4 linked regions of the Pelodiscus sinensis genome follow. The protein of the gene in region 2 interacts with the protein of the main gene of each other region in a pairwise test. Links are inferred from orthologs where the notes say so. Each region holds a gene or a part of one and is shown on either strand. Other genes may lie near its edges. The genes, in order: AP2B1, THAP1, METTL13 and RBM10.

Region 1 (7,882 bases), on a different chromosome or scaffold from region 2:
GATCAGATCTTGCCTGTGGTATTCGTACAGGTGTATCCATTCACACCCCAGCAACTACAACAACATGACCTTGATCAGGATTGTTCACGCTGGTTCTGCTACTGCCTTGCCAATAAGCTAGCTTTGTGTCTGGGAGCAGCAACACAAGCGGCAATGTTTAAAGACAGGGACAGAGGAGAAAGATACTCAAAAAGCCCAGGCTATGGCACCATTCTGAATTTAAATACCTGAAGCTTACCACTGTTGGCAGCAATCCCCACAGCTTTCCGAGAGAGGAAATTGCTATTAGCCTCATTTCGTAATTAAAAATGCAGCCTATTTGCAGCTGCAATTCTATTGCAGCTTCACAGCTTAGCCTAGTTTGAAAGAGGACTTTGTCTTTCACTTACTAAAGCATCAGGCACAACACCATTGTTATGAGCACTAATGTAGCTCTTGCACTATGCTGTAGTTTTCTTATGCACAGGGATCTTTCATTTTGGCCAGAACCGCCACTGATTCAGTCTGCCATTCTAATAATGGCTAATACCTGGCTATTTAAGGCAAGGTCAAAAATCCAATAATGCACTGAGATGGGGCACCTGCCCTGCTCTGGCCTAAGAAGGGTTAAATCCAGCCTTGGAAGAGGGCTGGGGCTGTGGAGCCAGCAGCTATGGCTGTATAAATGAGGGCTCCTAGAGGGGAGGAGACACACACTCTTGCTCCAGCTGTGGAGCAGAAGAGACCTGGCTGCCAGGGAAGCTATAGAAGCTTCCTGACACAGGCCAGGGCTGGGGAGCTCTGAACAGGCAAACTTCCTGGCTGAGGCCTCTCTCTCAAGGCCTGAGTGTCCTAGGACTGAAAGAGCCAGAGCAGCAGAAGGCATTAGGTCCACCCCCATGCCAATGATGAGTGGCCATTTCAGACTTCAGTTTGCCCAGAAGTAGGGTCTAGATGCCAACTGGCAGTGGGTCACTGAGGCAAGGTGGGCACAGGGTCTTGGGGGTTCCCTGAAGGGAGGGCCCCACAGTGTGGAAGTACTGCAGTAAGACAGGACCCAGAGGAAAGGGCTCTGCAGTCTGGGAGGAACATGGGAACAGATACATGATGGAAAACAGATTAACAGGAAGGTGAGACACCGACTGGAAGGGGGCGCGCCAGTGCCAACAGGAGCTAATCCCTGAGGCTATGTCTACACTCACGGCTTCTTGCACAAGAAATATGCAAATGAGGGTAAGCGTAGAATATCACTGAGCCTCATTTGCATACCTAATGAGCCACCATTTTTGCAAAAGAGGCTCTTGCGCCAGAAGAAACTGTCTACACTGCCCCTTCTTGCGCAAGAAAAACCTTCTTGCACAATGCTGCTACACTGATTATTTTCAGGAATAACGGCATTGTGCAAGTGGGTTTTTCTTGCGCAAGAAGGGGCAGTGTAGACAGCTCCCTCTGGCGCAAGAGCCTCTTTTGCAAAAATGGTGGCTCATTAGTTATGCAAATGAGGCTTGGCAATATTCCACGCTTTGCCTCATTTGCATATTTCTCATGCAAGAAGCTGCAAGTGTAGACATAGCCTGAGTGTCCAGCAGGAGCCACTGCTGTGGCGAGTAACACAATGTTACATGCACATTTAACTAATTGCGCAATGCTACACAGAGGAGGAAAATGCCTTGCTAAACTTCACAGGAGACCTTTATGCCCTGAAGCCCGAGATTTCATTAGCCTTATTATTTTAGCTTGCTTGGTTACAAATGTCATTAGCACTCATAAAATTACTCAACTCTGATTTAAATCTAGTCACAGTATGTGTCCTAATGACCTCCTGATTTGGCAGATTACAAACAACATTTATGACTATTATTTTAATAAGCACCATCACCACAATACTCTAAATACAATACAAAACTGCCTTTCCCCAGGGTGCAGAGTATTGTATTTCACTATGTTGGAGCTAGCTTCAGACATGCTGTCAAAGGCAATTTCCCACTGGTGCTCAGTATAATCTAGTTTACTAAGAAACCCATTATAGGGCACAGTGAGTCTCAAGTGAAACCTAAGAAACAAAGAGCAATGTGAGAGCAGTGATTCACAAATGACAATGGTTTCAAATAACCATCAAGGAAATACACAGATCAAACCAAGAGGAGAGTTGAAAAATTTTTCAAGATGGAAAACAGGGATTTTTATGAGCAAGAGCTGAGGGATGTTTAAAGAAGACTGAGGCTGTAAAGATGAGCGATCAAGCTCATCTTTGTGCTCTTGCAACCCAGTTGGTATCCAACCAGCACCTGCTCAGCTCAAACAGGTAAACTGGGAATGGTTTTGAGGTTTGCAGCAAGAGGCCTGTGCTCACCCCAGATAAGAAAAGAACATGACAAGGAAATACCCCGCGGGCTCGGCTCTGCTCTGAGCGCGCTGCTGGTTCACACGCATGCGGTTCCTTTCAGCCTCCGAAATTCACAAGGAGACTGAACCAGAGGGGTCTCACCCCGTGGCACACGCCCTCCCGCACAACAGCCTCCAAGCAGCGCGGGGCTCGCACCCGCCACACCCCGGCCCTGACCGCCCAGAACCGGGGCGGGCGCGGGCTCCTCTTGTGCCCGGCCCCGGGGCCCCTCGGGGCGGGGCCGCTCGCCTCAGGGGGCCCCAGGGGAAGAGTCCGGGGCTCAGACGGGGGGAGGGGGGGAACCCGGAGCCCGCCCGTCTCCCGGTGACACCCGACAAGGCGCCGGGCCCCCAGGAGCGGGGCTGGAGACAAAGGGGACCCGCCCCCCAGCGGGGCCGCGCCCTGCGGACCCGCCCCCTCGGCCTCCTCAGAGCCCCCCAAACCCGCGGGCTGCTCCACGGCGGGGCCCGCTCACCGGGCGTCGGGCGCGGTCCGGGGGCGGGGCGGGGCGGCCGAGACTCTCACACCGCTGCGGAGGAGGCGGTGGCCGGGAACCGGAAGCGGAGCAGCTCAGGGTGATAGAGTTCTACCCTCGCCTAGCGCGTACGCGCCGCCGAAGCCATAGAGACGCGGCTGTGGGCAAAGAGCGCCGCCTCTTGCCCCCTCCCACTTCCGGTCCGGGCGACCCGGCCCCGGGGTAAGTGTGCGGCCGGGAGACCCCCCCCCCAATCGCCCCCCTCCCGCGCCCCGCCTCCCTCCCCGGGCGTTTGACGTCACTCGCACGCCCCCGGGCTGCCCCTCCCCCAGGGGACTCCAGGAGCCAGCCCAGGGCCCCTCAGCGCCGCCGCGGGGACTCCCAGCGCTGCTGGGCACGGCGGGTCCCGCGGCGCACCCCTAGGGTGGGGCACGTCACCGCACCTGCCCCGCCCGCAGCCCGCTGCCTTGAGCTGAGAGGGACAAACCTCCCCCCTCTCAGTCCCTGCTGCACGGGGGCGCCATGGCAGAGCGCGGGGCTCACCTCACAGCCGCCTCCGCCAGCGATGACACACCGTCCATCTTTGAGGTGGTGGCCCAGGACAGCTTGATGTCAGCCGTGAGACCTGCACTCCAGCACGTGGCCAAGGTAAAGATGGACCCTCCTCCCCCAGCCCCCCATTAGGGAGGAGGAGGTAGAGCATGAGAAATGTGAATGTGAAAATAGGACTTGAAGTGAGTTTGGTGTTACACCTTTTAACTTGGCCTAATGTCTGTATCCCACCGCGCACGTGGTACCTTAGTCTCCACTTAGGAGCTTTTGCATATAGAATTGAAGTCTCATTGACTATTTGGCTCAGTTGCATTTATAAAACATTGGTGCAGTTGTGTTATATTACGGATAGACACTTGCCAGTATTTTCACTGGAAACAAATTGTGGCAGGGATTTTCTACTCCATCCTGCACAGACAAAGCTTTTGTGTCATAATTCTGAAGATAACTGACAGTGTTCCAGCTGAATCAATTTTAATGTCAGTGTCAAGCATGTACTTGGGGTCAGTTACCTTATCCAGGAGGAGAGGTACAAGCTAATGGTTAAAGCAGTCTCAGGACTCCTGTAGCCTCTTCCTGGCTCTGACATTGATTTTCCAGAGACCTAGGCAAGTCACTTAATTTCTCCATGCTTTGGTTTTTCTCTCTGTAAAATGAGGGATAATACAGACTTACCTCACAGAGAGGTTGAGAGTTGTTTGTCATGTTGGGAAAGCACTTTAGTGACTTGAATGGAAGGTGCTATAAAAAGGCAAAGTGCAGTTTTAGGATACAGAACTCCTATGCCTGAGTAGATGCATTGGCTCAGCCTTGCACAGATTGTAACCTCTCCATGGCTGATACTATAATGGCCCAGGAGCTGAGAATTCTGGACCCCCAGAAACTTAAAGGGCTCCTTTGTGTGGAAAACAAGTCCCTGGGTGGCAGGTATGCGATGTTTCTTTTGTGCTGTCAAAGCATGGGATAAACTGCCTATAATTACTGCACTGATTAGCACCTCCTGTGTTCAGACCACTGTACAAACATAAACTTGTCTTCACAACAATCCTGTGAGGGAGTGAAACGTTCTCTCCAAATGACAATCAAGCAGTGAAGTTAGGTGGCTTGCCAAAGAAACAGATGAAGACAAAAGCAGAAGTAGGACTGACTGGTGCTCAGGTCTTGGCTCCAAGTTTTGTGTCTAGACAAGGGATATTTAAAATCATGTAACAATGTAATGTACATTTTTCAAAAACTGCTGAGATTTTTTTCAGCAGTTACATGGTTAACCAGGCTACAGCCTCCCCAGCAACAAGGGAAGAGGCTTCCCAGGAGCAGAGCCGGCAGCCCTTGCTGTAGCAAAGCCGCCTGCCTGGGAGGCTGAGTGTAACCAACACCGTTAACCGCTCAGTTAACCTGTTAGTCATTTACACTTTTACATCCCTAGTTTAGACTGCCTCTTTCTCTAGCACATGCGGGATTAGTGCCCAGGTCGAAGTTCTTCTGACTGTTGCCGATAATGCTAGTTTAGTTCCAGACATGAAGTACCAAGGCATCTATTCTGAACAAATGATCCTGGAGAGAAAACACAAATATACACGGTGCTTTTGAGACCCTGTTTCAGTGAGGATACATATGCAGTCAGATAATTGTAGGAGACACACTTTCATTATTGGGGAATGTGTCCCCGGAGAAATGCCCTTTACTCACTATGTTGATTTAGATTAATCAACTAATTGAATAGCTCTTGTACATTTCAAAAGCAAAGTGCCAGAAGTGTGGGGCCAACAGGGGACTGTTTTGAGTCCCCAGCTCTCCCCGTAGTGCTTCTACTTTTGAAATGGAGCAAGAGTCCTGCTACATTTCAAAGGCGGAAGTGCTGCCACTTCTCCGCTGTGTCCCTGCCTCTTCTCCCCATGGAGACGGTGCTGGGGGGGAACCAGTTTTTAAGCTGGCTGCACACATTGATACCATGTTGCCAGTTGTATACTGGTAACAAACTGAATGATTTAATTTTCCAAAGGACCAAAGTTCTACTAGCCAGTGTTTTATTCTGATCACTGCTCCAGTCTGTTTCTTATACTGGATACATAGACCAGAATTGCTTTAACTGAGTTGCCCTTTGACACTGCTTCCTTCCCTGTTCCACTTATGCTAGGTGCTTGCTGAATCCAATCCCGGCTGCTACGGCTTCCTCTGGCATTGGTTCGATGAGATCTACGCCCTCCTGGATCTGTTGCTCCAGCAGCATTTTCTCACCAAGTGTAGTGCCTCTTTTTCAGAAAACTTCTATGGCCTAAAGAGGATACCATTGCGAGACAGAAAGGGGCTGCAGCAGTTGGCCAGTGCTGGGCTACCAAAGAAGCAACACTGGAAGTCTCTCCTCTTGTTGGTTCTCATTCCCTACCTGAAAACAAAGTTGGAGAAATTGGTCTCCAGTCTGAGGGAAGAGGATGAATATTCCATCCATCCTCCATCATCAGCTTGGAAGCGCTTTTACAGGGCCTTTTTAGCTGCCTATCCCTTTGTAAACATGGCCTGGGAGGGCTGGTTTCTCAGCCAGCAGTTGTGCTACCTTCTTGGGAAGGCTCAGCATCATTCCCCACTGCTGGGCCTGGCTGGTGTGCGTCTGGTTAGGTTGACAGCAGAGGACATCCAGGCACTGGAGCAGAAACTAGCAGAAGCAACTGCAGGCCAGCAGGTAGCATGCAGGTAAGTTTCAAAGGAGCCATGTACAGTTTAGAATTCTATGTGGGACTATTTGGAGCTGTCGTTCTATACCCAGATGGTTCTATAGCACAAAACTGTCTCAGTGTACGGGGATCAAAGAGAGCTCCTATAATTTTGAAACGTGTTCAAAGAAGGCCACATTGAGCAGAAGGGAAACAAAGTCAAACATCAGAGGTACCCAGTAGCAAATCTGCCTTAACTTGCATGGGTTCAGTCTCTGTGAACCTATTCAGTCCTTGGGAGCCCTTCTGAGATGGGCGTACCTACCCACTTGGGTGGTAAATTGTCCATTACTGGACTGGGATTAGCAATTCTGTTTCTACAGAAATCCTGCACAGAAGGCACTGAGTTGTGAACACTCCCAGCCTCAGCCTGCTTTGAAACAACAACCCATGAGTGAATTCCTTTGTAGCCCAATCCCGCTCCTTCCCACTAAGAACTACTGGGCCTCAGCCAACTTTCCACATTTCATGCAGGCTGTGATCAAAGAGCAAATTACACATACCTGAAATACCTGTTTTTTGTTTCCGATTCTAAATAACATTGTAAACATCAGGAACATGTAACAAGCTTTCCCCCCCCCCCCTTAAAAAAAAAAAAAGCAGTAGGTGACTAGCCCTGAAGCCTCTTTGATTTGTAGAGCTGGGAATTGCCTCTGAAACTATTGTCTGTCAGCACTGTAGTTTGCAGGCAGGTGACAAGGTGGAATGCTAATTGTCTATCTGTATCTTACTCCCTTCTGCAGCATTAAGGAGCAAGTGCAATCCACAGTGAAAAAAGCATTGGGAGGTATTGCCTTATCCCTGTCCACCGGCCTCTCCGTGGGTGTGTTCTTCCTGCAGTTTCTGGACTGGTGGTACTCATCTGAGAACCAGGAGACCATCAAATCCTTGACTGCATTGCCTACTCCTCCGCCACCTGTGCACCTGGATCATGGCATACGCTCACCCCTCTTGCCAGCACTTAAGACCGTGTGCCCGTTGTGCCACAAAATCCGAGCCAACGATACAGTCCTTTCCACGTCCGGCTTTGTATTTTGTTATCGCTGTGTCTACACGTATGTCAAGAGTCACCAAAGGTGCCCCATCACGGGCTATGCTACAGAGTTGCAGCACCTAGTCAAACTGTACTCCCCTGAAAGTTGACTGCACTGATACTTACAAAGCAGATCCCTAACGGGTTCAAGCACTGCACACTCTCTAGCTTCTTGAGCACACCTTTTCAGCCAGCCGGACTGTGTCTAACATTGCTAGAGCAGCAAAGGGCACAGTGACAGTCTATTAGCAGAGCAATCAGGCTCTATCCAAGTCTGAGATGCTAGGGCGAGGTTGGCAAATTCAACCAGAAGGCTCTAGTACAAACCACTATCATAGACAGATACAGGCCTAAATGAAGCTCTGCTTGGGTCCAGCCTGGCACTTCCTACATTCCTAAGACTACTTCATCTTGGCATTCACAAGAGAGCTTTTACAGAACAGGGCTGTACCTACCAGTCAGGTTAAGCTGTCCCGTTTCTCCCCTGCAAATCTCCCCTTGGATGGCTCAGGTGAAGTTAGCAAGCCAGGCAATGCTAACAGGAGCAAGCAGACTCCGTTCTGTCTCAATTGGGTTTATTCAGTATGTGGCTGAAGCCAGATTAAAATTGGAAACTACCCTGATTCAGATTTACTTTGCTGAATGTATCCTTAAATCTGCTAGTAACTGCTGATGTAGTAAAGCTGGTCCTCTCTGCCTATTTAGCATGATACTAAGATTCATTCCACTTAAGGTTTAAACCACTG
Region 2 (7,625 bases):
TCTACAAATCTTGCATCTATTTGAGACGCAGGAAAGGAAGATGGTGGTGGAGCAGGTGGTAGCAAAGGAGGTGGTGGTGGAGGGGGTGGTGGTACTGCAGACAGATCTTCAGGTTGCTCTGTAAATTCTTCAGTCTACAAACAGCAAGAGAAAAAGTACATTTTAATCTGTTTTGGGAATAGGCCATCTAATCACCAGATTGTAGTCTGTAAACAACAATAAGCATATCCATTACTAGCAAAAACAGCTAAGAACTTCTTCATTAAAGTTTTCTGAGAACCATCCAAAATGATTCCAAGAACTCTCTCTCAGGTGTTAACAACTCAATTAGATATCCCATCATACATGTATAGGTGGAATTATTTTTCCAATGTACATCTCTGTGCACACAGCAGTATTGCATTTTGTCTCCCATTTTGCTGCCCAGTTTTTGGAGATCCCTATGTAACACTTTGCAGCCAGCTTTGAACATAACTATTTTGCAGGAATATTTTGCATTTGCAAATGTTGTCATTTCACCATTCAGTCCCTTTTCTAGATCATGAATGAATATGTTGAACAGCACAGCTCTTTGACGAAACCTCTCTCTGTTGCAAAAATGGACCATTTATTTCTACTCTTTATTTCTTATCTTTTAGCCAGTTATTGATCCATAACCGACCTGTTATTCCAGGACTAGTTCATTTCCTTAAAATCCTTTAGTGAGGCATCTTGCCAAAGGCTTTCAGAAAATTCAAATACACTAAACCACCCAAGACGTCCTTTCACAGATGCTTGTTGACCCCCTCAACCAATTCTAATAGATTGAAGCATAACTTTCCTTTACAAAATCCATGTTGACTCTTCCCCAACAAATCATGTTTATCTATGCACTTGGTAATTCTGTTATTTACTATGATTTCTACCAGTTTGCCTGGTAGCAAAGGTAGGCTGAACAGCCTTTACTTGTCAGGATTGCCTCCGGAGTCTGTTTTAAATATCCTCCAGTCATCTGGTACATAGGCTTTTTCAGCAGTTACATACTATAGTTAGTAGTTCTGCATTTCTTTTCTGAATTCCTTCAGACATTCTGAGTAAATGTCATTTGGCCCTGCTGACATATTACTGTTAAATGTATCAATTTGTTTTAAAATTCCACAATGATGCATGAATGGGACAATACTTCAGAAATATCACCCAAAAAGGACATCTACATGAGCTGTATCTCACCTACACCTGTCGTTTTGCATATATAGGTTGAACCTCCCTGGTCCAGCAACATCCATGGTCTGGCAGGACCATGGATGTTGCTGGACCAGAGGGCCTTGATGGCTGGGGCCCACTGAGAGTCCAGCAACCAGGAACTTGGCAGCTGGCAGCAGAGCTGGGCTGGCAGGGTCAGGAAGGGAGCCCAGCTGGGAGGCTGGCAACCCCATGGGAGAGCCGAGGCCAAGAGGCTGGAATTGATCTCCCCTGGTCTGGCAAACTCCCTTGTTCGGGACCAGTCAGGTACACAAACACTGTTAGCAAAACTACCCTATCCTGGAAGACCATCTTGGTTACAACAATCTCATGGCCCACTGAGATGCAGGAGGGTCACTCATTGGGCCTACTCACTAACCTAGTTGGCCGCTCTCTCCTCTAGACCCTTCAAAGTTGTCCTGCTCTCTGTTTAATATGCAAAAACACAAAGGGGCAGACAAAATCCAGATCTCCTTAACACGGTTCTTCTCCCTTCTCTGTATTAAAAAAATGCATATATTGCAGTATTTGAGTAACAAAAATTAAAGTATTATAAGAAAAAGTTTTCACGTTACCTTTATCTTCTCACTGGGTTCAGTGTAACAAAATATCGTGGGCACAGCATTTTCCTTCAGTAGCTTGTTATTGCACTCTCTTTTAAAGCAATCGGGAGTGAAGTGCTCTGAACAAATACTGCTATACTTTGTGGGCTTGAAATTTTTTCTTTTAACAGCAGCTTCCCATTTCTTGCAGAGGTCAGGTCTGGTGAGAGGAAACCTGCAAACGAGATGGACTTTCAGCGCCACTGAACCGCTTTCTAAGGAAAAGCGACAGCACTGCAGGCATACAAAAGGCACGGGTGCAGCACTCAGGGTTGGTCGGCATGGCGGGGCCAAGGAGCCCGGTGCTAGCTGCTGTACAAACAGGGATCAGAGAGGCAGCCTGCTGGCCCTGCGACATTCAGCGCCCTGGCTGGGTTTGCCAGCGCATACACCTACGGCGGGCATAGGGGCGCAATGGGGGGGCGCAAGGGGCCAGTGTCCGCAGGCAGAACAGGGTTTTGCACGGTTCGGGGGAACTGACAAGCAGGTGCTGCCGTGGGGCTGGCCAAGGCACAAGTGGCCAGGAGGCCTGGACAGGGAGCGGGCGGACTCGGAGGGGCATGGTCACTGCCAGGCCGGCTCATGGGCTTTGCCAGGCGCACACCGAGCCCAGCAGGCAGCTGAAGCCAGGCCTGGGGGCAGATGGGCCAGCCCTGCCCCTCATTGGCCCGCGGGCCGGACAACAGGCCCGGGCAACCGGCCCGCGGGCCGGACCAGGCTCGCAGGAGGGGGCGGGGCAGCCTCCCAGCGGCCCCTCCCTCCTGCCTTTCCCCCGCCCGACGGGTCCCACGTGCCCACGCAGCCCCGCCCCCTTATGGGTGCGCGCGTGCCGCCCCGCAGCCGGTGCGCACGCGCTCTGGGCTGCTCGCCAGTGACAGTTACTCCCCGCCCCCCCCCCGGGGGCCCTTCCCGCCGAGGCGCGCTCCCGCCCCGCGCAGGCGCGCTCCGGCCCTGTCCTCACTTGTGGAAGGAGATAGGCTTCTCTTTGTCGTATCGGTTCCGGCAGCGGTAGGCGGAGCAGGACTGCACCATTCTCCCCCGGCGGCGGCCGCCTGCCCCGCTCCGGAGCACGCCGGGGCCGAGTGCAAGGACTCGGGCGACCGCCAGTTACCGCCCGACCCCCATCCCTTTTCTATTAGCCCCTAGGAGCAGAAAGGGGACACGGCCTCTCCCGACTTCAAGATGGCGGTGCCAGCTTCAGGTGAACTCTCGCGATACCAGTGCCTCGCTCGCCTCCATTGGCCGTTCCCCTCCGCGAGGGTGGAGCCTTTTCGCGCAGCCCACCAATAGGCGTCGAGGCTCCGCGTGTGGCGCGGGGCCCCATTCGCCCAGCTTCCGCCTTATCCTTTGCCCCGCCTCCCTTCGCTCACACATCTGGATAGCAGGGTCCCTGTGCTTCCAGCGTGCGCCAGCAGGCGGTGTCCAGACTGCTTCATTGCTGCGGAGTCTCGCTCCAGTGCCTTTGGCCAGAAATTCTGCCCCTTCCCCTGCAGCTACTAGGGCTGCTCTCTGCCCTGGGTGAGGTGGGAAAGATCAGGCAGGCCAGGGCTCCTTCTTGCCCAGGGAGGGGCAGCCTAGGCTCCTGACCCGGCTGCATGAGCGGCCCTCCTTCAGCTGAGTGCGCTGCAGATTTGTTGTAATCCACCTGGTCTCCCAAGATAGGGGAGATTTTGGTAACTGCACTTGTCTACCTAGAATTTGTGGGGTGTGCCAAGTGGACTCTAGCAGCACTTTGATTGGATGCAGTGGGTGTGCAGGGCTTTCACAGTCAGTGCATGCAACTGCGCACACCTCGCTTCACCTACCCATGCATAAAAAAAACGTAAATGCATAGTCTGTAAGTCTAAACCTTAACGACTAACAAAACATGTCGATTGTATCATGAGCTTTCATGGGCTCACTTCTTCAGATGACTGGAGTATTGAAAGTCCAGATCCAAGAATAAATAAGGGAGGGGGAGGAGGGGAAAAAGGGGAGAAAAAAGACAGTGAATACCTGTGCATATCATTTTAGTAATACATAGGAGCAGGGGGACAACTTATGCCCACAGAAAACAGCTGAATCTGGCAATCTTGCCATGGGCAACACTAAAATTTGTTGTGGGCCACACACAGAACCCCATTGGGCCACAGGTTACCCACCACTGTTCCTGTCTTTCAGTTCCTCCTTCCCCCCCACCCATCCATACTTTTTCAGGACTGAACAGTGGGAGGAGAGGTACAGCAGCATAGTCAAACACCCCAGAGATGTGTGGCAATGTAAGCCGTGTGGCTACGGAGACGCTCAACCAGCCAGCCTCCTCTAGGCCAAAAGCAATGAACTATGCCAAGAAGCCCAATGAATAGAGGAAATGTGATGGGAAGCAAGGAAGGAGGGATTTCTGGTGGTAGGGGTCCGTGGATCATAGGGAAATAAAGAATTGGTATATTAATTAGAGATGTAAAGCACTGCCTAACTAGCCTGCTTACAAGGAAAACTGGTTAACCTGCACCCCACCTGGCCGGGAGCAGCCCTCTATCCATGGCTGGGCCCACCATGCCCTGCCATGGATGGGGAGCTGCTCCAATGCCCCCCACCCTCCCAGTCACAGGTCAGTTAATTAAACATGTAGTTTAACTTGGTTAACATTTTTAATGGAATTTTACATCCCTAATATTAAATGGGTGGGTCACAAAGACTTGAGGTTCATTCATTCAGCCAGCTAAGGATGGTAAACAGTGGCTCACAAGGAGCTATCAACAGTTTGGTCAGGGCCACATCAGTCCCCCTGACCCAAGGAATTTTAAATAGAGATTGTAACTAATGGTAACTCCCCTCCCCATCCTAGTAACTGAGGACACCGTTTTCCTACAGCTCAAAAGTACCTACTTCCCCACTAAACACAACCTTGAACACACATTTAGCATTTTCTGCTATATTTTGTTGTACCCTGAGTATAGTAAAGAATTCATCGGTCAGTTGCATACAATATACACACTGGCTAAGGCTAGGTATTCTGCACCGCCTTAGCCTGTTTCACTGTACACTTTACCTGATCTGCTAGGGGAGTGCAGCTGCACTGCACTGCCTCATTCCCTATAAACTTTCCAAAATGCCCTTTGCAAGGTTAGTGGAAATCTGAGAGGCTGTGTTGAGACACAACAAAGCAGGTAATTAAAGTCGGTGTGAGGGCAACAGGCAGAGTTATGGTGGCAGATGAAAATTTTAATCTGGCACGTCCTGATGTTTCAGCGCTTAATTATGCAACCTGCGCGTTTCCTTGGCGTACTCTCTGCAAAGAAAGTCAGATGGGGGCGATTATTTCAGCCCTACGGTCCCCCGCCACTGGCCGTGGGTCGGTCTGTTCCTTGGGTTTCTCCTTGGGACTCTAGAGGGATGCAGACGGGCTCAGAGGCAGGCTACGGAGTTTGGAAAGGTGCGCGTTACAGGCAGGGACTCACGCCCCAGCCTGTGCGGGGCGCGAAGGCGATGGGGCGCGACCCCACCCCAGCCCGCACACAGTCTCCGCTCGCGGCAAGGGGCAGCGCTCTGACCCAGCCCCTTTTCCCAGCTGGCGTCGCTGTGCAGCCCGCAGCGAGGGAGCGTGGGCGGGCGTGTGGGCAGCTGCCAGCGCGGAGCCGTGTGCGCTCCCATGCCCAGGCGGGAGGGAGAGCGCGCCGCGGCCGGCGGAGGGGCGGGGAGAGCGGGCGCGAAGGCGGCGCTGCCGCTGGGAGGGGGTTTGACATCAGTTCCCCTGTAGGAGTTTCGGTAAATGCCACAAGCCGAAGGCGCGGAGCCCTGGGCGGCGGAGGAGGCTGCCGCTGCCCCCGGGGGGAGCCGACCCGCCTGCCAGGGGTGAGCCCGGCCCCCGCCACCTCCATCGCGGACCCCCGGGCGCAGGGCTGCGGCGGGCGGAGGGCCCCCCAGACGCCCCCGGCGAGCGCACGCTCCCGCAGCCCCCGCGGGGGCTCCCCTTGCTCCCGCTGCGGCCGGAGGCGGGGCGGGCCCCCTGGCCGGGCGGGCGGGCAGGATGAGCGGCGGCCGCAGCGGCCGGGCGGCGGTGAAGATGGAGGCCCCGTTCTACCCCGAGGAGGGGCTGGAGCTGCTGCCCGACTTCGTCCCGCTGCCCGGCTTCGGCGGCCCCGGGCAGGAGGCGGCGGGGCACAAGCTGCTGCTCGGGGCCGGTAAGAAGCGGGAGCTGGCGGGCCCCCTGGCGCTGCCGGGCTCCTTCCCGCTCCGGCCGCCCGGCGGCAGCGCCCGCAGCCCCGCCGCGCTCAGGCTCAGCCCCGCCGCGGCGCCCCCGGGCTCGGCCGCGGGGGGAGGAGCCGGCGGCAGGGGCGGCCCGGAAGCGGCTCTGCTGGCGGCCGGGTCCTCGGCGGAGCTGCCGCTGCTGAAGCTGCCGCCCGCGGCGGACCTAGAGCAGCTGCTGATCCAGGGCGGCCCGGGCCTGGGCCCCGCCAGCCCCTGCGCCGCCCCGCCGGCGCCGCCCCCCGCGGCCGGGCCCTTCCTCTACCGGCAGCCGGTGACGCAGGAGCAGGAGGGCTTCGCCGACGGCTTCGTCAAGGCCCTGGCCGACCTGCACAAGCAGAACCAGCTGCTGGCGGCGCCGCTCTCCCCGGCGCCCTGCGGCCCGGCCCGCCCGCCCAGCGACCCGCCCGCCGTCTACACCAACCTCGGCAGCTTCAACCCGGCCGGGCCGCTCAGCCCGGCGGGCTCCTACTCGGCCGCCCCGCCGCCCGGCCTGCCCTTCTCGCCCGCCCCGCCGCCGGGGCTGGGCCGCCTGCCCGTGCCCGGCGCCGCCAGGGCCCTGGAGGAGCCGCAGACTGTGCCCGAGGCGGCCCCGCCGGGCGAGGCCGGCAGCGGCGCCCCGACGCCGCCCTCGCTGTCGCCGCTGGACGCCGAGAGCCAGGAGCGGCTGAAGGCCGAGCGCAAGCGGCTGCGCAACCGCATCGCGGCCTCCAAGTGCCGGCGGCGCAAGCTGGAGCGCATCGCGCGGCTGGAGGAGAAGGTGAAGGCGCTCAAGGGGCAGAACGCCGAGCTGGCCGCCACCGCCAGCCTGCTGCGCGCCCAGGTCAGCCAGCTGCAGGGCCGCGTGCGCAGCCACCTCTCCAGCGGCTGCCACATCAGCGCCGCCGCCGGGCCGCCCGCCGCGCCGCCCGAGGGCCCGCCCGAGCCCGCCGCGCCGCAGACCAGCGCCTGCTGAAGCCCGCCCGCCTTCCCCGAGGTGCCTGGGAGGATGCGAGACTGACGGGCTCCCCATAGCTGCTGGAAGGAAGGCGAGGGGGAGCCACGCTGCGCGCCACGCCGGCTGAGCGCGGCTAGTTCCCAGGCAAGGGGCTGGTGTGCGCGCCGTGCAGCTTTCCCAGGACTGAAAGAATCGCTGTTTACACAAAGAGTCCACTTTATTTCCCTGCTAGAGGCGTTCTTTCTAACCCCCCTGGAGCGGGGCTTGATTCAGAGTTGTCTATTCCCAGCTTGAAAAAGCTCAAATTCTACATTTTTTTTTTTTAAAAAAAGTGTGTGTCTGTGTGTGTGTGTATAAAACAAAATGTGGCAGTGTATTTCTTTCTTAGCAGTGAAAGGAATTTTTTAAGATTGTATTGCTGCAGAGCAGCTTTTCATTTGCAGCTGATAGGGAAGCCCTGCGAGTAAAGCACTTGAATGGGCCTAGTTTTAAATCTAGCCTTCGCTGAGAGAGATTCTGCCACACAACTTAGGTTAGAAGGAATCCTATTTAATGACAGGTTCAGCTGTAAGAAAATACTCTTATCATAAGCTCCATATTATTTCTTGTGCCAGTGCAAACATGGGGCATTGATAAAT
Region 3 (7,439 bases), on a different chromosome or scaffold from region 2:
GGCGCTTGAATTTTGGAGGCATCTTTCCTATTCACAGAACTGGCCTGGACTGTCTGTACCGGGGGGTGGCGGAAGAAGAGGCTGCGTAGAAGGGAGAGGGAAGAAAACATCTCAGAGCCCATTGTGCTGAGATCAATTCTCTGTCCGATCGCCGCGGTCTCCCTAAAACTCAGCCCAGTGAAACAGAATCCATTGACAAATGCCACAGGAAAGAGAATGAAAAATCAACCCACCGGCCCAGCAATGCCAGGCTTTCAGGGACCCCAAGGGACAGATCACGTCGTTCCGTCTAGTTTCAGAAACTTTGACCCTGAAGAGACGTGACGGTACCTGCTTATCTTTACGCATGTGACTGTGCAGGCCACATGTGAGTTTCCGGAGGGCCAAGGCCAAAGCGTTTAAGTTCACTGGGGCTGGGACTGTGTTTTTCTGCATTTTTGTACAGCTCTGAGCACAGCGGAGAACCGATCCACAACCCTTATCAAGCCCTTTGGTCTAAAACCCCAAAGCGACCAATTTTATCAAAAAGCCACAGGTTACTAAACCAGGAAAGAAAAGCAATAAAACCTGACGAGCCCCCACAGGATTTTGGCCAAGCGCGGTCTGCTCTCTCTCTTCCACCTTGCCCCCTTTGCTACGGTCAGTGCCAACGAGGGGCCCAGTTGGAAGAGTTAAACCCTGCTTCTCTACAGAACAGGCCCATCTCATGTAGGCACGGCAGCATGCAAAGTTCTCCAGCGTTCCTCCGCCAACGTGTTCCGTTCCACCTGAGCCAGACAGACGGCCCCTGCCCTTGGCGTCTTTGGGAGTGACCCACAGATGCCGAGGGTGGTGGAGAGCTGGGCTGGGTAAATATCTGTCAGCAAGGAACTGCACCCCACTTCATAGTGATCACTTGCAGGGCTGACCTCGTCTGGCTCCGTGTCCCAGTGACCCAGGAGGTAAAGAATCTGGCTCCCCGAGCCACCCAGTTCTATCCTAAGCGGCTTTCTACCCCAAGTACCCTGGATACGGCTTTGCGGGTTTGAACATCACCACTCTCCTCGGCTGCAGGAGTCAGTGGAGATGAAACGTTGCAATCCCGGGGAACCTGCCACCCCGGAGCGGGCACATGGAAAATTGCAGGGAGAGCCGTAGGCTGTGACAATACCAGAAATGCAGGAAATTTAGCCAATGTCCCAGCACAGCGAGCACTGTCTGCTCCCCTAAACAGCCAGACAGCCCGCAGCAGGGCAGGGCCTGTCCCCATGTGCTGAAGGATGAGAGTGTCGCTACAGGTTAAGAGCAACAGTCCAGACACAACCGAAGCCAGGAGCAAAAGAGGCACAAGTTAGAGAATCTGGAGAAGTCACCCAGGCAGCTGATGGGGGTAGGGGGGTACAATGGTCCTGGGCAAGGAGTGGGGGGGGGGCGGGTGTCACCCAGCTGGCTGGGCCGGAAGCAGGGACCACAGCGAATACGAGGGGCTGGGCTGGGGGTTATCGGAGGGATCATGTGGCCGGTAGAGGAGAAGCCCTGGCAATGAGCACAGGCTGGAGGAAGTGAGAGATACCCCAGTGCTAGGGAACTGCTTTCCCCGATGGGTCTCTCCTGGGACCCCTCCCCCGTGAAGCCCCCGAACCCCACTCCCCTCTAAAACCCAGCGCTTGGGAGGAGAGGGGACCCTGAGACGAGCTCACGTGCAGCATGAGTCTACACGGGGCCACCAGACAACAGCAGAGGGGGCAAGAGCTCTGCAAGCACACGTAGCTGGGAGCCCCCAAAGCCCTTCACCCACAGAACCCCCAAAGCCTCTCCACAGAACGGCCTCCAAGGACCCCCCCAATTCCCACCCCATTCCCCCCACAGAGCCCCCTCCCCAAGGGCCCCCTCCCCCCCTACAGAGCCCCCTCCCCCAGGGCCCCCAGGCCCTGCCCCCCACAGAGCCCCCTCCCCCAGGGCCCCCAGGCCCTGCCCCCCACAGAGCCCCCTCCCCAAGGGCCCCCAGGCCCTGCCCCCCACAGAGCCCCCTCCCCCAGGGCCCCCAGGCCCTGCCCCCCACAGAGCCCCCTCCCCAAGGGCCCCCTCCCCCCCTACAGAGCCCCCTCCCCCAGGGCCCCCAGGCCCTGCCCCCCACAGAGCCCCCTCCCCAAGGGCCCCCAGGCCCTGCCCCCCACAGAGCCCCCTCCCCAAGGGCCCCCAGGCCCTGCCCCCCCGGAGCCCCCTCCCGATAACCCCCCTGCCGGCCCCGCTCACCGCTCCGCGGCTGGGAAATGGCCGGGCTGCGCGGAGGGGCCCAGCTGCGAGTCAGCTGCTCCATCGAGCGCTCGGCGATCCGGGCCGAGCGCCGAGCCATCGATTCCTGCCCGGCGCTCGGCGGGCTGGCCCCTGGGGGGCGCGCGCGTGTCTCGAGCCCACTCGCGCGAGGGGGCGGGGCTGAGGCTCGCTGCCAGCTGGGAGCCCACGTGGGCAGCGGCGCGGCGCTCGGGGCTGTCGCGGTCCCGGCCCGTGTCCACGCGGGGGTGCAGCACGGGGGGGGGGGCTCTGCACCCCCCCGCACGCACAGCGATTGTTCAGTCCCAGTGCGGGAGGGAGGAAATGCCCCCGGCCCAGATCCTACAAGGCACTTAGGTGCGTGACTGCCATTGAAGCCAAGGGGAATTAGGCGCTTGCTGCCATTGAAGCCAAGGGGAATTAGGCGCTTGCCTTCGAAGCGCTGGCGTTCAGACGTGTATCAGCGAGCCCCCAACCCGCGTGACTAGACCCCAAAGATGTTAAGGCCAGAAGCGATGGTTGGATCATTCTAGTCTATACTGCAGGCCGCAGATTTTCACCCACCTGCACCTACTAGCTTGTGTCTGACTCACCTACATCTTCCAGAAAGGCGGGGGGGGGGGGGGGCGCGAACCAGCCACCCCCCGGACCTCTTCCGCACCCAAATGCCTCCCGCCCGCCTGTAGCTCTGCCGATCAGCACCTCCCCATCTCTCCACCACGATCAACTGTTCCACGGTGGGCACCTGCATTTTCTGTGTGTAAAAATCCTGATCAATTCACTTCTCAATCTTACTTTGGAGAAGAACAGAACATATTGAACTCTAAGACCCCCTACAGGGCCTTTTCTCCAGCCTTCATTCCTTCAAAGTAGGAATAAGAGATCCTCCGGAAAAGGGCTTTTTTCCGGAGGATCGGGGCCAGTGTAGACGCTCTTTTCCGGCTTTTCTAAAAGCCGGAAAAAAGCGGCGGATATTTTTATTTAAATGCCGCGGGGGATATTTAAATCCCCCGCGGATTTCCCTATTACGACCTGTAAAATTAGCATGCCCCTTTCGGAAAAGGGGCCAGTGTAGACGTAGCCCCTGTGTTTAGAAAAAGGAGATGGAAGCAGTCCCTCTTTGGAGCGAAAGCACACACACCTACGGCAAATCCACAAACTCTGCACAACGATACTTGCCAAAAGGAAGATCCAATCTGGGGCTTCCTGACTCAGAGGGTGGCTTTTAAAATGCTGCCGTTTGCGGAACCAGTTGCAACCGTGCAGAAAAGCAGGATGTTTTGCGCATACTTACAACCTTCCACAACTGATCTGCCTCTAACTGCTGTCACTATTGTAAATCTGCTTTTGGAAAATACTCTTTTGAGATTCTGATTAGCTGGGTTGTTTTTATACAAGCAGGAAACAAGCCTAACATATAGCTACCGTACGTTTTTGTTGTTGTTTTGTTTGTTTTCTTGCAAAGGCATTTGATGGCATTAATAATTCTCCATCTGTTATTTTGTTAAATATATGAGCTTCTTTCCAATCAGTGTATGCTGGGTGTCTGTTTATGCCAATATCATTATAACCTTCCCTCCTTTCCTCCTGTTTTCAGTAAACAGCAGTTGAACATTTGGCTAGTCTGAATGTGTGAATGGGTCTGATCCTTACCTGGTGTGAATTTATCAATCAAGCTATGCTGATTCGGATTTGGCTCTCTCTCTTCCCAACTGACATTTTGGGCAGTTGCACTGGTGTGGTCTAAGGGATGGTTCAAATGTACTTATGTATTTTAAAAATGTGCATCTGTCTGTCCAATTGTGAGTCTGTTTGTTCAAGAACTCTTCCTAAATGGTAAGGGCTAGGACCACCACATTTGGTATGCAGCTTCCTCTTCTGGGCTGCTACTTGTGTGCAGTTCCTGCCTCCTCTGGTCGCTGCCTGTCCCGATGTCATTAGGGTCCAGAGTCAACACCCAGCTGAGCGGAGAATGGCCACGCCCCCTGCCTGCAGGCTCGGGCAGGCGCGAAGCTGTAGCCACTGCCCCCTGGGGAGGCTTTGGTTCTGCAGCCCATGGATTCATGTCACAGCCTCCCAGCCCCGCCCCGGGGCCCCGCCCCCGCCTCCGAGCCCCGCCCGCCCCGCAATGGGCGGGCTCCGGACGCGGACGTAGCGTCGCAACGTCCCAGGGTCGCGCGGCGCGGCGCGGGCGCACGTGGGGAGAGGCCCCGCCCCCTGCCATGGCGCTGCTGCCCCGCAGCGCGCGCGAGTTCGGCTCGGCCGGCTACTGGGAGCGCTTCTTCCGCCAGCGCGGCGCGCGCGCCTTCGAGTGGTACGGCGGGTACGCGCAGCTCCGCCCCGCCCTGCGCCGCTACGCGCGCCCCCGCGACACGGTGAGACCCCGGCCCCCCCTGCGCCCCCCCGGGATCCCCCTCCCCTCCCCCAGCGCCCCCCCGGACCCCCCCCGGGATCCCCCTCCCCTCCCCCAGCGCCCCCCCGGGATCCCCCTCCCCTCCCCCAGCGCCCCCCCCGGGATCCCCCTCCCCTCCCCCAGCGCCCCCCCCGGATCCCTCCCCCGGGATCCCCCTCCCCTCCCCCAGCGCCCCCCCCGGGATCCCCCTCCCCTCCCCCAGCGCCCCCCCGGACCCCCCCGGGATCCCCCTCCCCTCCCCCAGCGCCCCCCGGGATCCCCCTCCCCTCCCCCAGCGCCCCCCCGGGATCCCCCCCGGGATCCCCCTCCCCTCCCCCAGCGCCCCCCCGGGATCCCCCTCCCCTCCCCCAGCGCCCCCCCGGGATCCCCCTCCCCTCCCCCAGCGCCCCCCCGGATCCCCCTCCTCTCCCCCAGCGCCCCCCCGGACCCCCCCGGGATCCCCCTCCCCTCCCCCAGCGCCCCCCCGGGATCCCCCCCGGGATCCCCCTCCCCTCCCCCAGCGCCCCCCGGGATCCCCCTCCCCTCCCCCAGCCCCCCCCCGGATCCCCCTCCCCTCCCCCAGCGCCCCCCCGGGATCCCCCTCCCCTCCCCCAGCGCCCCCCCGGGATCCCCCTCCCCTCGCGCCCCCCCGGGATCCCCCTCCCCTCCCCCAGCGCCCCCCCGGGATCCCCCTCCCCTCCCCCAGCGCCCCCCCCGGATCCCTCCCCCGGGATCCCCCTCCCCTCCCCCAGCGCCCCCCCGGATCCCTCCCCCGGGATCCCCCTCCCCTCCCCCAGCGCCCTCCCGGATCCCTCCCCCGGGATCCCCCTCCCCTCCCCCAGCGCCCCCCCGGATCCCTCCCCCGGGATCTCCCTCCCCCAGCGCCCCCCCTGGCATCCCTTTCCTTCCCAGCGCCCCCCCCCGGGATCCCCCTCCCCTCCCAGCGCCCCCCCCGGATACCCCCTGGGATCCCCCTCCCCTCCCAGCGCCTCCTCCGGGATCCTGCAACCGCTCCTTCCCCCTGAGATCCCTTCCCTTCCCTCCAGCGGGATCCCCCTTCCCCTCCCCCCAGTGCCCTCCCGGATTCTCCCTCCCCCAATGCCCCCTCAGCATCCCTTCCCTTCTCCCAGCAGCCCCCCCGGGATCCCTTCCCCCTCTCTCCCCCAATGTCCCCCCCCCCGATCCTCCTCTCCCCCAAGGCCCCCCCCCCCCGGCATCCGTTCCCCACGGGTGTTTGCTCGTCTCCATGGTGTGTGAGGCGGGTTGGGACCCCCAGGGAAGCTACCCTCTCTTTGCATGTCCCAGGTGCTCGTGGTGGGTTGCGGCAACTCCGAGCTGAGCGAGCAGATGTATGACGTCGGCTACCAGGACATCGTGAACGTGGACATCAGCGAGGTGGTGATCAAGCAGATGAGGGAGCGCAACGCCGACAGGAGGCCGAAGATGAGCTTCCTGGTGATGGACATGCTGCAGATGGACTTCCCGGACGCCCGCTTCCAGGTGGTGCTGGACAAGGGCACCCTGGATGCCATCCTGGTCGACGAAGAGGAGGCCACTCTCGAAAGGGTGGACAGGATGTTCGCTGAGATTAGCCGGGTGCTGCAGGTTGGGGGCCGCTACCTGTGCGTCTCCTTGGCCCAGGCCCACGTGGTGAAGAAAGCGGTGGGCTACTTCTCCCAGGAGGGGTGGGTGGTGCGCATTCACCAGCTGGCGGGCAGCGAGGACAGAGAGGCCCAGCAGCAGTTCGTGCTGCCCGTTTTCCTCTACGTCATGACCAAGTGCAAGAAGCTCCCTGGTTTGGTGCAGCCGATCCTGGAGATCTGCACGGAGGAGCTGGACAAGCCCGTGCGGGTGGAGAGCGCGGAGCGGCTGGTGGAGGCGGTAAAGGAGAGGCAGATGTACGCGCTGCTGCGCAGCCAGCTGGACAAAGCCCCCGGTGCGGGCGACGTCTCCCTGGATCTGTGCGACGCGGACACCGGGAAGCCTCGCTACACGCTGCACGTGGTGGACAGCCCCTCCGTGAACGCCTCCCGTGACCATCACTTCGCCATCTTCATCGGTGAGTGGAGCTCCTCCGAAAAGGCGTTTCTCTCCCATCGACGGCAGCGGGGGCAGCGTTTCGCCGCAGGACTCTACAGTTCTGCTCGTAAGCCCCTGGTTAGGTATAAAAAGGCTCTGATTTTCACCTATGCTGGCTCCTAACCACTCCTGTTTGTTTCCACGGCAGTTGCTGGGTGTTCAGAAGAGAGGCTTAGGGGTTTTCCAGCTGAACGTGGGCTTGTCGGCAGAGGCTAGCAAACCCGGTGAAACGAAATAGTGCCCCAGATCTGCCACTGTCACCCAAACAGAGGGCGGGTTGCCTTTCCTTCCCCCGTCCAGCTCTCGGGCACTGAGCATTTCTCCCGCTGATTCTCCAGTAGCTAGGATGAGACGTCCCAAGTGAGGGCACCAGGAAGCCGGACACATTTTGTGTCAGTTCTCCCGAAACGGAGTTTTTCTTTAAATTCCTTCCCATGACAAGCTTTCACGTTTTCGACTGGCTTTTCCAAAGTGGGGGGAAATTCCCCCCCCTTCCAAACAAAAATCAATTCCTTTTTTCGGAAAGAGTCCCCTTTCTTGGCCAGCGCTGCTCAGCAGCTCTGCAAATCGAGGCCCTTATCAAAGCCGCCTTTAAAGGCGGTAGAGCCCCCACATTTAGATATCCAGGCTTGAAAATCTTGGTGTTCGGGAGCAACAAAACAAGCCATCTGTGTGTAGGCAGAGCCCAGCCACTGGCCAAAAAAGCAGCGTGGTG
Region 4 (7,523 bases), on a different chromosome or scaffold from region 2:
CTGTTTCCAGCCGGCCTGCCCCAGAGGTGGCTGCATGTCAGCCCCGGGCAGGCACGAATCCAGCCAGTCCCTTCGTCCTCACAGCCTCGCTGAAGTCCCCCTGCTAATGCAGCCGCGATGTCCCTGCAAGGGGGCCAACCTGTCCCCCCCGCCAGCCCTCCCCCCATCTCGCAAGCAGCAGCCGGATTCCCTGCCTGCTCACAAGCGGATTAACACCCAAGCCAGAGAAAGGGAGCGGGAGCCGCAAACCCACAGCTCCCTCAGGGCAAGGTCAGGTGCCGGGAAGGGAGTGAAGCCTAGTGGTTAGAGCAGGCCGGGCGGCAGCCAGGTCTCCGGGGTTCACTGGGAGGGGAGCGAGGGAGAGGCTGGGACAGGATGTCAAATCCTGGTTCATTGGTTAACTGGTTTGACGATTAACGGGGGGCCGGGGGCACTCCAGCCCCCACCCGTTGGCCATTCCCATCCCTAGCGGGGAGCCGGGGTTCTGCCCTGGCCCAGGGAAGCCTCGAGGCCCGTACGGTGCGATCCGACGCCGGATACAACAGCCAGGCCAGGAAGGTGCCAGCGAAGAGAGGGAGCTGAAAATAACCCAGCCAGGGAGGGGGCAGCCCGCCACCCCCACCAGGAGCAGGAACTTGGAGGCGCAAAGAGCCCGGTTCCCAGCTGGCGGGAGGCCCGTTAGCGCCTCAAGGACAGCCCGAGGCACACGCGAGTCACCACAGCAGCCTTCCTCTGTCCTCGGGCGCTCCCCCCTCTGGGATGCAGCCACCTCTGGGCTGAAGCAGCTGGGGACCAGCCACACAGACAGGTCTGCTGCCTGGCGCTACCCTGCCAGGGCACGTCCCACTCGTGCATCAGGGCAGCAGACCACACGGAGCTGCTGTTTCGGGAGGGGGGAAGGGAGGGACAGCAGGCCCCATGGGAGCTGAGAATCGGTCCCTGCCCACGCACCAACCTGGCCAAGCCTGGTCTGACAAGGGGAGAGGATCAGCCTGTGGGTGGCTCCCAAACCGCTGGACCCCGCTCCCCTCCCACAGCCAGGGAGAGCTCAGGAGTCCTGGCCCCAGTCACCCCTCTGCTCTAACCATTGGACCCCGCTCCCCTCCCACAGCCAGGGAGAGCCCAGGAGTCCCGGCTCCCAGTCACCCCTCTGCTCTAACCATTGGACCCCGCTCCCCTCCCACAGCCAGGGAGAGCCCAGGAGTCCTGGCCACAGTCACCCCTCTGCTCTAACCATTGGACCCCGCTCCTCTCCCACAGCCAGGGAGAGCCCAGGAGTCCCGGCTCCCAGTCACCCCTCTGCTCTAACCATTGGACCCCGCTCCTCTCCCACAGCCAGGGAGAACCCAGGAGTCCTGGCTCTGAGGCCAGCAGGTCCCAGGTGAATGCCAGAGGAAAGGGGGGAATGTGCCCCTCATTCCAGCAGCCCTCAGGGCAGAGGCCCCTGGCTCCAGCCCCTCTCCCCCCATGGCCAGGGCTAGCTGGCTCCCCTGCTGGGCACTGCCTGTGACCCACATAGCATGGGCCACACAGGATTAAGGGGGTGGGTGGGAATCTAAACAGGGAAACTGAGTTGGGGGGGGGGGCTGGCAGCCACAGCAGTGAGGGATTTAGCACCTTGGTTCCCAGAGCCTGGAGTTCTACCCCCCCCCCCCCCCCCCGATCAAGCCCAGGCACGGAGCTGCCCCCGCCAGCAGCTCTATGCCCCATGGCCAGTGAGGCAGGGCACTGAACTCCTGCGGGGCCAGGCCCGGCGCCCGGGCAGGTGGGCACAGCTGTCGGAGGCAGGCGCTGCTCCTGCGGACAGAGCCCCTGGGGAAAACCGCGAGGCCGTGCTTGGGAGCCGGCTCCAGCTCGGCGCTGGGGGGCGCCCTCCCCTGGCAGTGAAGGGAGCAGAGAGCTGGGAAGGGGCCTTTTCCCAGGCAGCGTTCCCCACCCGCCAGCGACCTTGTCTGGGCCCGGCCAAGGGCAATGCACAAAGGAGACTGGGCAGCAGCCCTGGCTTGGTCAGCCAGGGAGAGAGGGTCTGAGGCGCTGGGTTCTCAGCCCACCCCCACTGGGGCTAAGGGAGGGGACGGGCAAGGGTGGGGCTTGGGCAGGGATTCCCCCCCCCGCGTGACTGTCTCTGCCAGCAGGATGAGCCCTTTGTGCCCCCAATCACCCTGGTCTCGCCTCAACACCAATCCCTCCCATCAGCCCCATGGCGCCCTCTCCCAGCGATCTCTACCGCCCCCCAACCCACCCCAACTCCCCAATCCCGCCCTGCCCCCCCACAGAGATCCAAGCACCTGACAGGCCTCACCCCAACCACACAGATGGGAAACTGAGGCACAGACAGGTCAAGGAATGGACCCAAGGCCACACAAGGAGGCTGTTGCAAATTAGGAATTGAATCTTGGGGTCTCACAGGCAGAGTTGGAACTCTAGCCTGGAGCCCAGTACAACCCCTTCCCCCACAAATCCCCCACCTGCCTATCCCTCCATCCCATCTGCCCTACGCCCCATTCTGCACCCTCCTTCCCTCTGCACTTGCCCCCAGGCCCCACTGCACCCACCCACAACCCTGAATCCCTTCACGATGTGCTCCTTCCCCTTCCCCTTGCTCTGGGTTTCCCGAGCACCCCCACTCGCTCTGCCCCCTCCAGCCCCCCCCCACTCTAACAGCCTGCCCAAACCCCTGCCCCCTAATGCAATCCCCGGCCCCACCTTGGTCCCCCAACTTGCCCCACCCCCACACACCCTGCTCTGTACTAGGGATGTGAGCGACCAGCCACTTCCCTGCCCCTTGCTGAAAAGCCGGTTCCCCCCAGCTCCAGCTCCATGGGAGGGACGCGGTGGCGGCTCTTGTACCATGGAGCTCCGGCCAGTGTGTGTGGGGGGGGGGCTCAGAGTCCCCTGCTGGCCCCGGCTCCAGTTCATTCTTTGCAATGAGCCCTTGGAAAGAGCCGGGCGGGCTCCTGCTGCCTTTCAACCCGGAAGCGCCCTCGGCGGCTAATCGAATAGTCGATTAACTAATCGCAGAGTTGATGGAAAATCCATCGAATAGTCAGTTAGTTAATTAATCAAAATTTAACATCCCTACTCTGCACGCCCCCTCCCACCCCCAGTGCAGCCCCCTGCCCCTCCCCCTCCAGGCCCCGCCCCCTCAGCCCCCCACCTCAGTGCCGAGCCCCACCCCTCCAGGCCCCGCCCCTTCAGCTCCGAGCCCCACCCCTCCCCCTCCAGGCCCTGCCCCTTCAGCTCCGAGCCCCACCCCTCCCCCTCCAGGCCCCGCCCCTTCAGACTCTCCCACCTCAGTGCCGTGCCCCGCCCCTCCAGGCCCCGCCCCTTCAGACTCTCCCACCTCAGTGCCGTGCCCCGCCCCTCCCCCTCAGGCCCCGCCTCCTCAGACCCCCCCCGCCCCTCCAGGCCCCGCCCCCTCACCTTGCGCAGCGTCGCCATCATCAAGTCCTCCTCCTCCTCGTGCGGCTGCTGCGGGGCCCGCGCGGCGAGGGGCGGGGACACAACGGCAGCCGCGGCCCCGCCCCCCGGGCCCGACCCCGCGCGAACCCCGCGCGCCGGGAAACCCCGCAGCAGAAGCGCGCGCCGCGCACACCGCCCCAGCGCCGCCATCTCGCCCCTGCGGGGGGAAGGGCACTGACGCGCGGAACCGGAAACCCCGCCCTGCGCGGCCGCGGCACGAGGGGCCCTGGCTGGGAGCGATCTCACGCTGCGTCAGAGCACGTCACAAAGGGACCGGAGCGGAATGGGGCGGGTCGCGCGCCGGGTTAAATATCGGCCCTCGCGGACTGTACCATGGAACTCCCCCCCTCCGGACTCTACCATGTTCTGCTGGGATTGTCCCATAGCACCCCCCCCCCGGACTGTACCATTTCTTACCGGAAGGGGGGTACAGTGCAAAAGCACTTCCTCATCCCGCCCCTCCTGGTACAGTTTGCCGTCGCCTATTCCCACCCCACCCGGACTGTACCATATGATCCCCCCCTCTTTTAGCACCTCTGGACTGTACCATATTCATCCTCGGAGGAAAAAAACCCTCAGCTCCCCTGGGCGACAGTCGCAACCCCTCCCCGTTCCCCCCAGCGTGTGCATGACGTCACGGCGGGCCACAGTGACATCACGTGACGAGGTCGCTGCACACCGTCACTGCACTTTGCCTGATGGCGTCACCGCCCAACACACCCATGATAAAAAAACTCGTCGCGTCGTGACGTGGCCATGACATCATGTCCCTGCGGTCACTCGGCTGGGTCATGACCCGGCTGTTCAGTGGCCGCATAGGAAGGCGGGCCCTGTGAGCGTTCCGCCAATCGCCGATGAGCAGAGGCGGGCCCTGTGCTCGCTCCACCATTCTTATTCCTGTGGGGGGGGCGGGCCTCTGACCTTCCAGCCAATCCCCTGCCCGGGGAGGCGGGCCCTCCAGAGGTGCCGCGAGCGCTGGGAGCGACTTGCCGCGGCCCCGCGCCCACATCCGGCGCGCGCTGAGCGGCAGGCTTGCCGGCCAATGGTATCGCGGCGCCGCGACCAATAGGCGCGCGGGGGGGCGGGGCCGCGCTCGCCGCCGCCGGGACAGTCGGCAGAACTCGGCCGCTGGAGCCGCCGCCATCTTGCGCGTCGGGCGGGCGGCGGGTGCGCGAGGAGCGGTGTGTGCGGCCCGGCCCGCGGCTCCCGCCGCCCAGGTCAGCGCCGCCGCGCGGGGGGCGGGGCCGCGGCGCCTGTGGGGGGGCGGCGCTGGCAGAGAAGCAAGGGGGGGCTGGGTCTGTGGGACCGTCCGGAAACGTTGGGAGGGGGCGTGGTCTGCGGGGGTCGGGGCGGAGCGTGTCGAGATGGGGGCGTGGTCTGCGGGGGTCGGGGCGGAGCGTGTGGAGATGGGGGCGTGGTCTGTGGGGGTCGGGGCGGAGCGTGTGGAGATGGGGGCGTGGTCTGCGGGGGTCGGGGGCGGAGCGTGTCGAGATGGGGGCGTGGTTTGCGGGGGTCGTGGGCGGAGCGTGTGGAGATGGGGGCGTGGTTTGCGGGGGTCGGGGGGCGGAGCGTGGCTAGATGGGGGCGTGGTCTTCGGGGCGGAGCGTGTCGAGATGGGGGCGTGGTCTGCGGGGGTCGGGGGAGGAGCTTGTTGTGATTGGGACCTAGTCTTCGGAGTCCGTGGGGGAGGGGGAGTTGGGTCGACTTGGGGGGCGGTTGCGGAGAGAGGAGCGTGGGGGTCGCTGGGGGCTGGAAGGGGAAAGGGAGGAACTGATGAGGGGTTGGGGCAGCTGGCGGATGAACCTGCTGAGAGACGAGCCACGGAGGCGCTGGAGCACGCTGGGGGGTGGCCAGCCAGGGGGGCAGTTGGGGGTCCGGGTGCCGTCACTACAGAGCCAGCTGAGGGTGGAGGCGAAACTGGGACCGGAGGCTCCCTCGCCCCCCCATCGTGTTGCTGCTACACGGGCCCTGGCTGCGCTCGGGGTGCCCTGCCGTGCTGGGTGCTGGGCAGAGGAAAGCCTGGCACGGCTCTGGTGCCACTGAGAGGAAAAGTTGGCTTGGCTGAGGTAACGTGGCTGAGCCAGGGAGCAGCTGGGCCTGGAGACGGGGCAGAGGCAGGTGCCTAGGAGGAAGGGAAGCCCCCTCTGGCCAGCTCCCCCATGCCCTGTGTCTGCCAGGGACCAGCCCCGGATGCTGCCAAGGGAGGGGGCTTGTGCAAGAGACTCGCTTTGCACTTTTGAAGCCTTGTTGTTGGAATTGTCCCACCCTTGATTTCACCCCTGCCTCAGTGGCCCCTGGTGGCAGTGAGTTTCACAGGCTTGTTAGCTTCCTGGCACGACTGCATCTCCCTGGCATTCATCCGTCGCCGGAAGGGCCTGGTGCCGCAGGGTGGGTGCTGAGCCCTGCCTCTTAGACACTGGCAAGCAGAGGCGTCCAGTCGCTGTTGCAGAAGACCCCCCCCCGAATAGATTGGTTTGGTGGAGTTTCTGTTGCCTGTGCGGGCTCAGACCTTAGAAGTGCTGGCAGCTTTCTCCTTTGCCACGAGGTGGGGAAGGACTCCGCCATTGTCCAGCTAAAGAGGAACCGAGCACCAGAGAGAGGAACAGCCCAGAGTTCAGAGATGCTCATAGGCAGCTCCCCCAGTGCACGGTTGGGGACCCCCTTTCCAGGGGTGCCTTGGTGGCAAAGCAGATCTGTGCTGCAGGCAGGGAGCCACGGAGGAGGGAGAGACCCCCTTTCTGTCTGGCTTTGTGCCTGGCACCCTGCGCTCAGCTCCGATAGCGCGGCTCGTGGGCTAGGCGGTGTGGCGAGGATCTCGGTGGAGAATGGAGCCGTGGAGCATGTCACTAGGCCCTGAGCTGGTTCTGTAGGTGATCCCGGTTCCCATGGTGTCAGCAGAGCTGTGGGGGAAGGAGAGTTGATCCTGGGCTGTGGAGAGAACCGCGTGTACGTGCCGCACTGTGGCTGGTTTCAGAGGGACTTGGGGGCTTTGTGAGGCTTTTGCTACAGAGCGTGGAGAGACCAGCCCCAACCCGTGCTGCAGGGAACCAAGGGCAAAGCAACCAAGGGCCTGGAGATAATCGATCTGTGTGAGGGGGTGGAGCGGGGGTAGCACCCCCCCTCTGTCTTCAATCAGACTCCCCTCTCTGCAGGTGTCCAGTGAGGGCAGGAGCCACGGCCTGGCTCATGCGACTTGCTGGCATCAGAGACACAGATCACAGTGTGGGACAGCATGCTCAGCCGGCTGGGGGGTGGGGAATGGGACCTGGGGGCCTTTCCCCTCCAGGGGGTGCTAGCTCCCATCCAGCTGCAGGGCGGCTGGCTGGCTCGGGGGGCCAGGGCTCGGATCCAGCGCTCGCTGGCTGCTACCCTAACGTTACCTGCTGTTACGGAGAGAGGTTGCCTGCCCCATGGGCGCCCCTCGACGGGCTGGGGGAGTCGGTCAGGTGGGCTCTAGCACGGGTGACTGGTCCGGCGAGGAAGCCGGGAAGTAGCCGGCCTCCTACCTCCTTGGCTGCGTCGCGAGGCCGTTCCTGTCAGGACTTCTCTTCGGTGGTGGCGCTCAGCAACGGGAGGGCGTCTCGGGGAAGCAGCCGGGGCCACACTCGGACGTGAGGTGACGCCTCGCAGACCCCAGAGCGCATCATGCTCTTGCTTCCATCTCCTGCTGCTGGGAGACAGCCGAGCCGGCATGTGACGAGTCCGGGCACCTGACGGAGCCGCTAGCTCTGGGCTGTGGGGGGAGGATGTGTCAGGCTCCCAGAACCGTTCCCCTGCGTAATGCAGGCAGAGGCTCAGAAGGGCCTGTAGGAGCCAGGCCTGCAGCTAGACCTGCCGCGGGCTCCTGGACAGGCAACCCTGCGGGGGAGAGGCTGGCTGTGGTCGGGGAGCCCGGAGCGGTCTGGCTAGTGCAGAACGCGGAGGGTGTTGGGCTGAAGGTGGGTGGGGGAAGCCCCTGGGGAGGGGAGGTTTGCGGCAGTGCGAGCTCAGAGAGGTGGGGCACGGGAGGAGGATCCCAGTGCTCTGGAGAGGACAACTCGGGGTGCTCTCCATGGTCCCAG

What was found.
Region 1: the proteins of THAP1 (region 2) and AP2B1 interact in binary tests that used the Homo sapiens proteins (3 or more experiments, as listed by UniProt). The two-hybrid records come from large-scale screens. The link is inferred for Pelodiscus sinensis from reciprocal best matches to the Homo sapiens genes THAP1 and AP2B1.
Region 3: the proteins of THAP1 (region 2) and METTL13 interact in binary tests that used the Homo sapiens proteins (3 or more experiments, as listed by UniProt). The two-hybrid records come from large-scale screens. The link is inferred for Pelodiscus sinensis from reciprocal best matches to the Homo sapiens genes THAP1 and METTL13.
Region 4: the proteins of THAP1 (region 2) and RBM10 interact in binary tests that used the Homo sapiens proteins (3 or more experiments, as listed by UniProt). The two-hybrid records come from large-scale screens. The link is inferred for Pelodiscus sinensis from reciprocal best matches to the Homo sapiens genes THAP1 and RBM10.

The regions. Positions count from the first base shown.
Region 1 is NC_134731.1:17,019,980-17,027,861, forward strand, and holds the start of AP2B1 (AP-2 complex subunit beta), read right to left. Parts: upstream 3,015-7,882; 5' UTR 2,841-3,014; intron 1-2,840. Other genes in the region: PEX12 (peroxisome assembly protein 12), read left to right, coding at 3,363-3,488, 5,530-6,083, 6,847-7,246. UniProt on the Homo sapiens protein: Component of the adaptor protein complex 2 (AP-2). Adaptor protein complexes function in protein transport via transport vesicles in different membrane traffic pathways.
Region 2 is NC_134716.1:3,815,894-3,823,518, forward strand, and holds the start of THAP1 (THAP domain-containing protein 1), read right to left. Parts: upstream 3,007-7,625; 5' UTR 2,856-3,006; coding exon 2,785-2,855; intron 1,999-2,784; coding exon 1,797-1,998; intron 135-1,796; coding exon 1-134. Other genes in the region: transcription factor JunD-like, read left to right, coding at 5,833-7,005. UniProt on the Homo sapiens protein: DNA-binding transcription regulator that regulates endothelial cell proliferation and G1/S cell-cycle progression.
Region 3 is NC_134719.1:64,089,471-64,096,909, forward strand, and holds the start of METTL13 (eEF1A lysine and N-terminal methyltransferase), read left to right. Parts: upstream 1-4,430; 5' UTR 4,431-4,475; coding exon 4,476-4,628; intron 4,629-5,950; coding exon 5,951-6,704; intron 6,705-7,439. Other genes in the region: VAMP4 (vesicle-associated membrane protein 4), read right to left, coding at 1-22. UniProt on the Homo sapiens protein: Dual methyltransferase that catalyzes methylation of elongation factor 1-alpha (EEF1A1 and EEF1A2) at two different positions, and is therefore involved in the regulation of mRNA translation.
Region 4 is NW_027465846.1:58,707-66,229, reverse strand, and holds the start of RBM10 (RNA-binding protein 10), read left to right. Parts: upstream 1-4,521; 5' UTR 4,522-4,679; intron 4,680-7,523. Other genes in the region: NDUFB11 (NADH dehydrogenase [ubiquinone] 1 beta subcomplex subunit 11, mitochondrial), read right to left, coding at 3,424-3,612. UniProt on the Homo sapiens protein: Binds to ssRNA containing the consensus sequence 5'-AGGUAA-3'. May be involved in post-transcriptional processing, most probably in mRNA splicing. Binds to RNA homopolymers, with a preference for poly(G) and poly(U) and little for poly(A).